Linked DNA regions of Canis lupus familiaris. The protein of the gene in region 1 purifies or fractionates together with the protein of each later gene. This does not show direct contact. Links are inferred from orthologs where the notes say so. Each region holds a gene or a part of one and is shown on either strand. Other genes may lie near its edges. The genes, in order: ARHGEF2 and MARK2.

The links.
Region 2: the proteins of ARHGEF2 (region 1) and MARK2 purify together in Homo sapiens (affinity purification with western blotting; 3 studies listed by BioGRID and IntAct, with this or other methods). This does not show direct contact. The link is inferred for Canis lupus familiaris from reciprocal best matches to the Homo sapiens genes ARHGEF2 and MARK2.

Annotation. Positions count from the first base shown.
Region 1 is NC_049228.1:41,818,979-41,823,490, forward strand, and holds the start of ARHGEF2 (rho guanine nucleotide exchange factor 2), read left to right. Parts: upstream 1-1,658; 5' UTR 1,659-1,677; coding exon 1,678-1,804; intron 1,805-3,845; coding exon 3,846-3,913; intron 3,914-4,209; coding exon 4,210-4,273; intron 4,274-4,512. UniProt on the Homo sapiens protein: Activates Rho-GTPases by promoting the exchange of GDP for GTP.
Region 2 is NC_049239.1:53,608,408-53,612,202, forward strand, and holds the end of MARK2 (serine/threonine-protein kinase MARK2), read right to left. Parts: intron 2,914-3,795; coding exon 2,869-2,913; intron 2,227-2,868; coding exon 1,866-2,226; 3' UTR 9-1,865; downstream 1-8. UniProt on the Homo sapiens protein: Serine/threonine-protein kinase. Involved in cell polarity and microtubule dynamics regulation. Phosphorylates CRTC2/TORC2, DCX, HDAC7, KIF13B, MAP2, MAP4 and RAB11FIP2. Phosphorylates the microtubule-associated protein MAPT/TAU.

The DNA.
Region 1 (4,512 bases):
CTTATAGGTAGGTATCAGAGCAGAACAGAGACCAGAATACTGGAGGCTCGGGTTGGAAGGTAGGCTTCCCTAACAAGGCCTGGGGTATGGGGGCAGGAGGGGGGAAGGTCAGGAGGGAGAAGCCAAGGGCAGTGGGGAAGCCGTGGGGTGGGGGTGGCGGGGAGACCTGGAAATAGGAAGAGGAGGAGACGGAGACGGGAGAAGTAGGGGAGGTGGGGAAGGACCCTAAGAGCTCCAGGCTCTGCACACAAAGCTGGTGCTTCTGCAGGGAGCCAGGGGACAGAGGACCCTGGCCTGGAGGCTCAGGGTACCATGGCCCAGCGCCCTCTGGCCCCCACACTGTTGACTCAGCTCCTGCACACTTCCTTTTTCTGTCCCAGCAGAGCGCCTGCCCAGCACCAGCCCAGTGTGGTTCCCCCCCAGCCTCTCAGCTGCTGGTGTGTGGGAGCCAAGTCAGGCTCAGGCCAAGGGCTGTCCCCTGGCTCTCCATTCTGTGTCTCAGGGCCCCAGCCAGTCAGTGTCCCCCACCTTGGGCACCTGCCCTTGGCCTCAGCAGTGTGGAATTTGCTCTCTTCCTGAGGAGCTCAGAAGTCGAGGAGAGGGGAGTGGTTTCGCCAGCCCTGTCCTGTTTGCCACCATCTCAGAGGGATATTGGGGGTCTGAGGTGACCACCTAGGAAGGTCCTGCAATAGGAGAGAAGGAAGGCATCGCACATCTTCTCAGGCTCTTGGGGAAGCTCAGGGATTTGAGGGCCAGAGAGTACTGGGAGAGTGTGGCTTGACCTGCAGTGGCTGGTGCAGCAGGGATGAGAGCCACCAGCCTTTGAGGTTCTGGGGACCATACACTGTGCCCCATCTTGCTAGAGCCCAGAGAATGGCATTGCAGCCAGAGGATGGAGGGTAGATGCCAGAAAGGACTCAAGATGGGAGATGGGGGAGCAGGGAGAGTGGGGGGAGCAAGAGCTCTCCCAGGTTTCAGAGGGGAGCATAAGGAATAAAAGTCAGACTTCCTGCCGGAAGCAAGGAGACCCGTGGGCTGAGTTTCCTTCCTCAAAGAGGCCAAAGCCAGGCTCCAGCCTCTCACAGAGGCCCTGGCTTTTGGGATCTGACCTCTGGGTTGGGGGTGGCCACGGAGGCATTCTGGCCTCCAGCCAATCTACTAAGGGCCCTCCTGCCCCCCACTATGACGGCGGAGCCTGGGCTCCAATGCTGGTTGTCATGGTTATAAGAGCAGCTAACTCCCATAGATTTGAAAGCGCTGGTGAGCTGGCACCCTCTGCTTCGCCTGCTCTCCCCTCCTCTCTGCGCATCTTCCCCCAGCTCAGAGGAGAGCGTACAGCAGCCCGGGGGCGAGCAGAGCAGGGCTGGGAAGTGCAGGGAGGACGTGAGGGCCAGAGCCGGGGAGATGAGTGGCCACAGGAGGCAGCCTAGCCGCAGGGGTCAGGTAGGTGAGGGCCAGCCAGGCCCTTGGGGCTGGCCCCGGGCACCCTTGGACAGCTGCCTGTGACACTCTGCAGCAGGCCCTTCTCTGGGAAGTGCCGTCCTTGCGGCAATCCCAGTCAGGCATCGCTACCTGGCCTCTGCCCTCTACCTGTCTCTGGGGCACCGCTGGGCACCTGCCATCTTGAGCCTCACTTCTTGTCTCTCACCCCTTCTGCAGAATCGGGAAAAGGAGAAGATGAAGGAAGCCAAGGACGCCCGCTACACCAACGGGCACCTCTTTACCACCATCTCCGTCTCGGGCATGACCATGTGCTATGCCTGTAACAAGAGCATCACAGCCAAGGAAGCCCTTATCTGCCCAAGTAAGTTGTTGGGATCCTGACTGTCATTCTGACTCGGTGCCCACTGACCCTAACCTTGCCATCTGTCCTTTCTGCCCTGGATTCCCTGGGTCATTCTCTTAGAGCCCTGGCAGGGCCAGATGCTTGATCCCTTGTGCCTCTTGCCTCCGAGGGGCGGGGGGTGGGGGTGGGTTGGACTGGGGCTCAAGCTGGGCTCTCTGGGAGCCCGGGGGGTGGTGCTGGGGTGGCTCCCCTTGCAGCTGTCGTCCACTGGGTGTCCCCTGGCTTACTGAGCAGCTGCTGAGGGTTCCGGGAACTGCTTAAAGAAGGATCAGGAAAGTCCTGGGGAGGAGGGGATGTCAAGCCAGCCTTGCACCTGCTTCTGCCTGTCTTCCTGGGCAGAACTGGATGGCCAGGATTTCAGGGACCCCTTGCTCCTCCCTTTCTATCAACTGGGGAGAGCCTGAATTATCTTAGTCTCTGCAGTTTGAAGTAGAGGACGGGATGAGGACCATCTGTCTCAAATTTCTGGTGTGACCAACAGACAGGGAGAAAGAGGGAAAATACCAGGAATGTGTTCTGTTGGGGGAGAGGGGTCAGAGCTCCCGACTTCAGCACGTCCGTATTTAGGAAGTCAGAACGGGGCATTCTTCCCTGGGATGCCCACGTGCTGGTGCAGAAGGCCCCTGCGGCCCCAGGTTGTAGCTGAGCTGCCTCTGGCCCTGCTGCTGATGGTAGGACCAGGGCCCTAGCCTCTCATTCCCTATGGAAAAACCAGCAAGGTCTTCCTGCTTCCTCACTAGCCACCTTAGACTGGGGAAATGAGGAGGGAAGCCTGGTCTAGATCCCTCCAGACCTGACAGAGTTCCCTATCGGGAAGCTTGTTGCCAGGGGAACCGGGGAGGCAGGCAGCAAGCGCTATTTTGAGAGCAGGTGGAAAGCGGAGGTTTGATCCAGAGACACTGGGTGCCGGGGGTAGAAGAAGGGAGCTCTAGGGGAGTGGGGCAGCCCCAGCCCCCTCCGGTCCTCCCTTCCACCCCACCCTGCTCGCCTTGTATTTGTGGAAGTGAGCCTGGTGCTGGGTATTGTCTGAAGAAGGTGGCAGAGTTTCCTGTGTTGTTGGACGTGGCGGAGGAAGCAAGATAGGGCAGAGGGCTGAGGCATGTTGGGGACAGAGACAGCCAGCGGTCCTGCTGCCAAGGCCTGACCGCTCCTCTCTTCCCTCCTCCCCCTGTGGCAGGGTGGGTGATGGGGCAGGAACCAGTGGAGTGTGGGGAACTGCGGGCTTGCCCCGGGTGGGGAACAGGCCCCGGGCCTGGAAGGGGAAGATAGGAGTCAGAGGGGAGCAGTGGGGAAGGCTGGTGGGCATTGGAGACAGATGGGGCAGGGCCTGTCCCTGCTCCAGCAGTGGGTCCACCAGCCTTTGAATGCTTGGGCCTGGCCATAGTTCTTGGGTGCATGTGTGGTGCACAGCAGGAGCGTGGCCTCTGGGTCCAGGCACACCTGGGTTTCAAGCCCAGCTGTGCTGCTGGCTGCCTGGCCTCTGGCAGGTGATTTGACCTCTTGGGGTGGCGGGCTCTTCATCTGCAAAATGAGGAAAATTGAATCTGCTCCAAAGGGTCGTTGGGATCAAGTAACTGTGGAGCACATGCTATGTGCTCCGGGGATGTTAACCGCCCCCTGCCCCTGGCCCCCATCCCAGCTGCTCTATGCCACCTCCTGTCCCGTGGGCGTCCTCTTCCATCTGTCACTCTCAGCCACCCCTGTGCTCCTTGAGCTCATCTCTGGCAGCCAGCAATTCCTTTGGCCCACCCCTCAGGTCACCTCTGAGTCAGCATTGCTTCCTTGTGGTCGCCACCTCTATCCCCTCACCTGATTTCCTGCTGGAAGGAAGGGGGCAGAGGTGGCGAGGGGAGGGACGGGTCTGGTCGTGGCTGTGAGGTCTGGGAAGAGGTGCCTCAGCGGCTGTGTGGCCAGGGGGAGACGGGTGCCTGCTTGTGGGTGTGTGTCCCCTCCTGTACCACCCGGCCCCCCCTTCACCCTCTCTACCCCACCCTCCCAGCCTGCAATGTGACTATCCACAACCGCTGTAAAGACACGCTCGCCAACTGTACCAAGGTCAAGCAGAAGGTGAGATGGCAGGGCGGGCAGTGGGCTGGGGAGAGGGTAGTGAGTGTGCCCTTCCCATTCACTCCTCACTCTGTGTTCCTCACTGTGGGGCAGCCCACACCCTGCACCCCAGGCCCCATGCGGCCAGCCCGCTGCTCTGGACACCTGCCCCCTAGCGTGGGGCTCAGCCACCCTCATGCCCATGACCGCTGTGCTGGCTTCCTCCCGAGGTGCTAGCTGCCCAGCTCCTGCCCAAGCCTGTGGGGGCAACCCCTGGTGACAGCTGTCCTTGGTGTCTCTCTTGCTCTGTCTCACAGCAACAGAAGGCTGCTCTGCTGAAGAACAGCACTGCTTTGCAGTCTGTTTCCCTTCGCAGTAAGAGTGAGTAGTGGGGGCACGCAGAAGACCCCGTGCAGGATCCCCCCTCTCCCCGGGACCCTCAATGGGACCCCAGGCCCCTCAGCCTGTGGGCTCTCCTGCCCCTTGAGGTTCATTTCCTGCATGGTGCTTTCCCCACCCCCCATTGGAAGTGGATGGTGAGCCATAAGAGGTGTCCAGGCTCCTGGTCTTAGGGGCAGGGCAGAAATCTAATGGGGGTGAGGCTTGGCTGGTGGTTTGAG
Region 2 (3,795 bases), on another chromosome or scaffold:
GAGGCAGCTCAGATTCCAAACATTCTCTTTATTACGTGTTTGATCCAGAGGAGAAACTAAGTGCGGGTGGGGGGTGGGCTGGTGGGGAGGGGCCACCTTGCCTGGGAGCCCCCCCCCATGGGCCACCACCCCCCTCTGAGAGCCAAGCCATGCCCTCCTGGCCCCCTGGCCCCCTCAGAGCACCCGGGCTGTTCCACTGGGCAGGAGGGGTTGGGAGGGAGGAAGGGAGAGAAGGAGGGAGGGAGGAGGAGCCCTTGGTCTGAGCCTGAGCTCAGCTCAGAGTCCACAGTTGGGGCTTGGGGCAGGAGGGCTGAGGTTGGCTAGGCCCCTTCCTGGAACCCAAGGGCTCGACTTGCCTCAGAGCCTGGGCTGGGAGTGGGGGGTGATGAGTAGGGGTGGAGTCATCATAAATCAAAAAAAGAAAAAATAAAATAATAAAATAAAAAATAAAACCCATCACAAAAAAATGTACAACTCAGGTGAGGGCAGGGGCAGCCTCTGTGCAGGACCTCCCTCCCCCAATTTCTCAGGAACAGAAACAGCAAAGAAATAAATTAAGGGATGCAGCGGCCGCCACCAGCCAAGCGCCCATAACCAGCCACTCCCACACTGGCCAAGGAGGTTAGCAAGCTGGGAGTCGCTGGGCCTATCTGTCCCCCCACCCCCTGGGAGGGCAGATGCTCCCGGCCCCGCTGCCCTGTCCAGCCTCCTGCCAGGTGGCCATGGAGGCCCTGGGCAGTGTCTCCTGAGAGGAGGGGCGACAATGTCAGGAAGAAAAGGCAAGGCCGGGAGATGAGTGGTGAGGGGAGTCACTGCTATGGAACGAGCTGGTGCCCAGATTAATGCCAATGAAGGGGGCAGGGGAGAGGAACAGCACGGGGCTGTGCTTTCAGACAAAGGCTCTCCCATAACGGAGAGTGCCTGGCATCCCTGTTCAGAGACTAGCAGCCCAGGCGGCCCCCTGGGGGCCGAGGAGCCAATCTGCCCTGCATCCGTCCCCTCCCTCTCCGGCCCAGGGGTCAGCCCCGCCTTCTACCCAGGAGGGGTGGGAGAAGATGGCACAGAGTTTTGAGGAGGGGAACAAAAGTCCCCACAGCAGCTTGTGGAAGGAAATGCCCAGCTCTGGGGAAGGAGGGGCAGAGGATACAGTAGGGAGGGGGCCAGGGCCCGGGCCTCACCAGTCAGCCCAGGGCAGCTGCCAGCCCCCCACCCCCACCCCCACCCAGCGCAGCGCCCCGCCCCCAGCCCGGCCCGGTAGGCCTCCAGCCCCGTGGCCTGAGGTCAGGGGAAGGCCACCTCTGGTGGTTTGCTTGCAGGGGAAGGGGGGAAGGAGAGGGGAGAAGCCCAAAGTGGGCCTGGCGGAGGGCCTGACAGGGAACTCCACCACTCTTGCCTGAGAGTGTTCCAGCCCTGAGCCACCCTCCCGGGAAACCCCACAGATCCAGTCTCAACTGTCCCAATGGGGCAGGGAGGAAAGGTGGCCGCTGGGATTTTTTTTTTTTCTTTTTTCTTTTTGGTAATAAAAAATTTCTTGGTTTAGGCGAAATACTCTGTGCAACCGCAGTACCGAGGGGGAGCCCTGCCCCCCCACCTCCCTCCCCTTCCTTTGCCTCCTGTTGGGGAGAGGGGGGAAGGGGGACTTTCTGGGCAGGGGTAAATGTTGGGGGAGGGGAAGAACCATCTCCCGTCCCCCCCCCACCCAACAAACATGGAAGAAAGAACCGAGAAGGGCGGAAGGGAAGAAGTGCCAGCAGGGGGAGACACACCGATCCATCTCCACAGTCTCGCCCAGGTGGGTTGGAGCCCGGCCCCAGCAGCTAAGTCCAGCTGGCCCGCCTCCGTCGCCCCCCACTCCCGGCAGCCTGTTAAAGCTTGAGCTCGTTGGCTATTTTGGAGGCAATGTTTTTGAAGGCCATGGAGGTGCCCGATATCCGCTTAAATCGGACACCGTTGAGAGACAGCCGCGGCAGTTTGCACACCTCCATCTCCCACTGCACGAAGTTCTCGTGGCCAGGCGTGCCGTGCATGCACAGCAGCATGTACTTCTCGTGCAGCTCACTCTGGCAGCTGTTCGCGTCCAGCACCTTGCGGATCTCCCGCATCATCTCATTGGGCTCCATGGAGCTGGTGGTCTTCATACTCCACGTGAAGCGTAGTGAGCGCGGTTTGGCCTCCCGAAACTCTTCCTTTTCTTTGTCGTTGCCTCCACCGCCCACCACGTGAGGTCTGCGGAGAGGGCAGAGGTGGGGGTCAGGGTGGGGGGCTGAGGCACCCCACCCACGGGAGAGCCACCCGGGCAGACAGCCCCCGAGACCAGAGAGGAGAGCGGGAGGGTGCCCGGGAGGCGACAGTGCCAGAGGAGGGAGCATCAGACCTGGTTGGGGGAAGCAGAGGGAGGGTGAGAGGGGTGGGCTGTTCTGTGACTTCCATCTCTCAGGGAGGGCAGAGAAGGGGAGGAAAAGCCAGGCCCCGGCGGGAATGGGAGGGCGCAACAGTTCCATGCTTGTCTTTGACGAGGGGAGGGTCAGAGAGAAACAGGGAGCACGTGCTCAACAGCCCTGAGCGGTTCACAGACGGGCAGAAAGCAGCAGCTGAGGTACAGAAAGGTGAGCTGGTTGGTCGGTAGGAATCTGTAGCCCCAACCGCCCAGCCTAGGGCTCCTGCTTCCAGAATGCACCAGATGGGAGAAGGACCCATGCCTTCGGCAGCTGGGCTGGGGTTTCTCTGAGGAAAGGGAGGCCCCAAGAGGGCGGGCACAGGGCAGAACCACCGGAGGAAGAGCCAGGTGGCAGAAGGAAGAGAGGAGCAGGAGGCTTGTGGCAAGCCCGGTGGCCTGGGCAGGGCTGGTGCTGGCTCCAGCCCTCTCACCTGAGCGTCTCCACTCGGTCTTTGCTTTCAGGTTCATTCAGGTTCCTCAAAAAACAGAGCGAGGGAGAGTTTAGTGCTGGGACCTCTCGCTCCTTCCACCGCCGCAGACCCAGGTGAGGGTGGGTCTGGTGAGGTGCCACTGGACGGTGAGCAGGACCCAAGCTCCAAGGTCACCTGCCCATCACCTGGCCTGGCAGGCCTATATGGCTCTGCAGCACCTCACACAGGCAGCTCAACTGTCCCTTTCCAGCAGGGAGCCCAGCACGTGGGGCCTGTCCCTCCCCACGCTCCCAGACATCTGTGCTGGGGAGAAGGAGCCTCTGCTCTGGGGGAGGAGGAGGAGGAGGGATGTACAGGCACACGCATCGAGCACGCAGCCACAGCGTGAGGCAGCTCCCCTACCAGCCCACAGCCAGGGTCTCACGCTGTGAATGGGTCTTCGACGCCAGTGTACCTGGGTCCTGAAGGTACAGTCCTTTTGAAGGGAAGGGGCTGCACTGGGGGACATGCTGGGGGAGCTGGACAGAAGCCTCTCTCAGGAGGCTCAGAGGGCCAAGAGCTGGAACTGTGAGTGGGCCTGGGGATGGGTGCCTGGCCCTGAGGCCATCCATGGACAAGCCTGTCTCCCTCATTCTTTTAGAGCTCCCTTGCCTGCCAGGCTGCCAGGCCATCTGCTTGGACAGAAGGGAGGACAGAGGGCAGGGCAGGGCCAGCACCTTGGGAGGGTGGGTGGGGAAGAGGTCTGGCCCCGCTGAGCGGCTTCTCCAGCTCCTGGCTGGAAGATGGGTGCCTGGAGCCGGGAAATTGGGGACTGCAGAGGAGGATGAGATAGAGCAGCAGCAGCACATGGAAAAGGAACACAAGGACACGACAGACACACGAAGGCACACAGGCGCAGGGCAAGCAGGGAAGGAGCCTGCTGCTCTC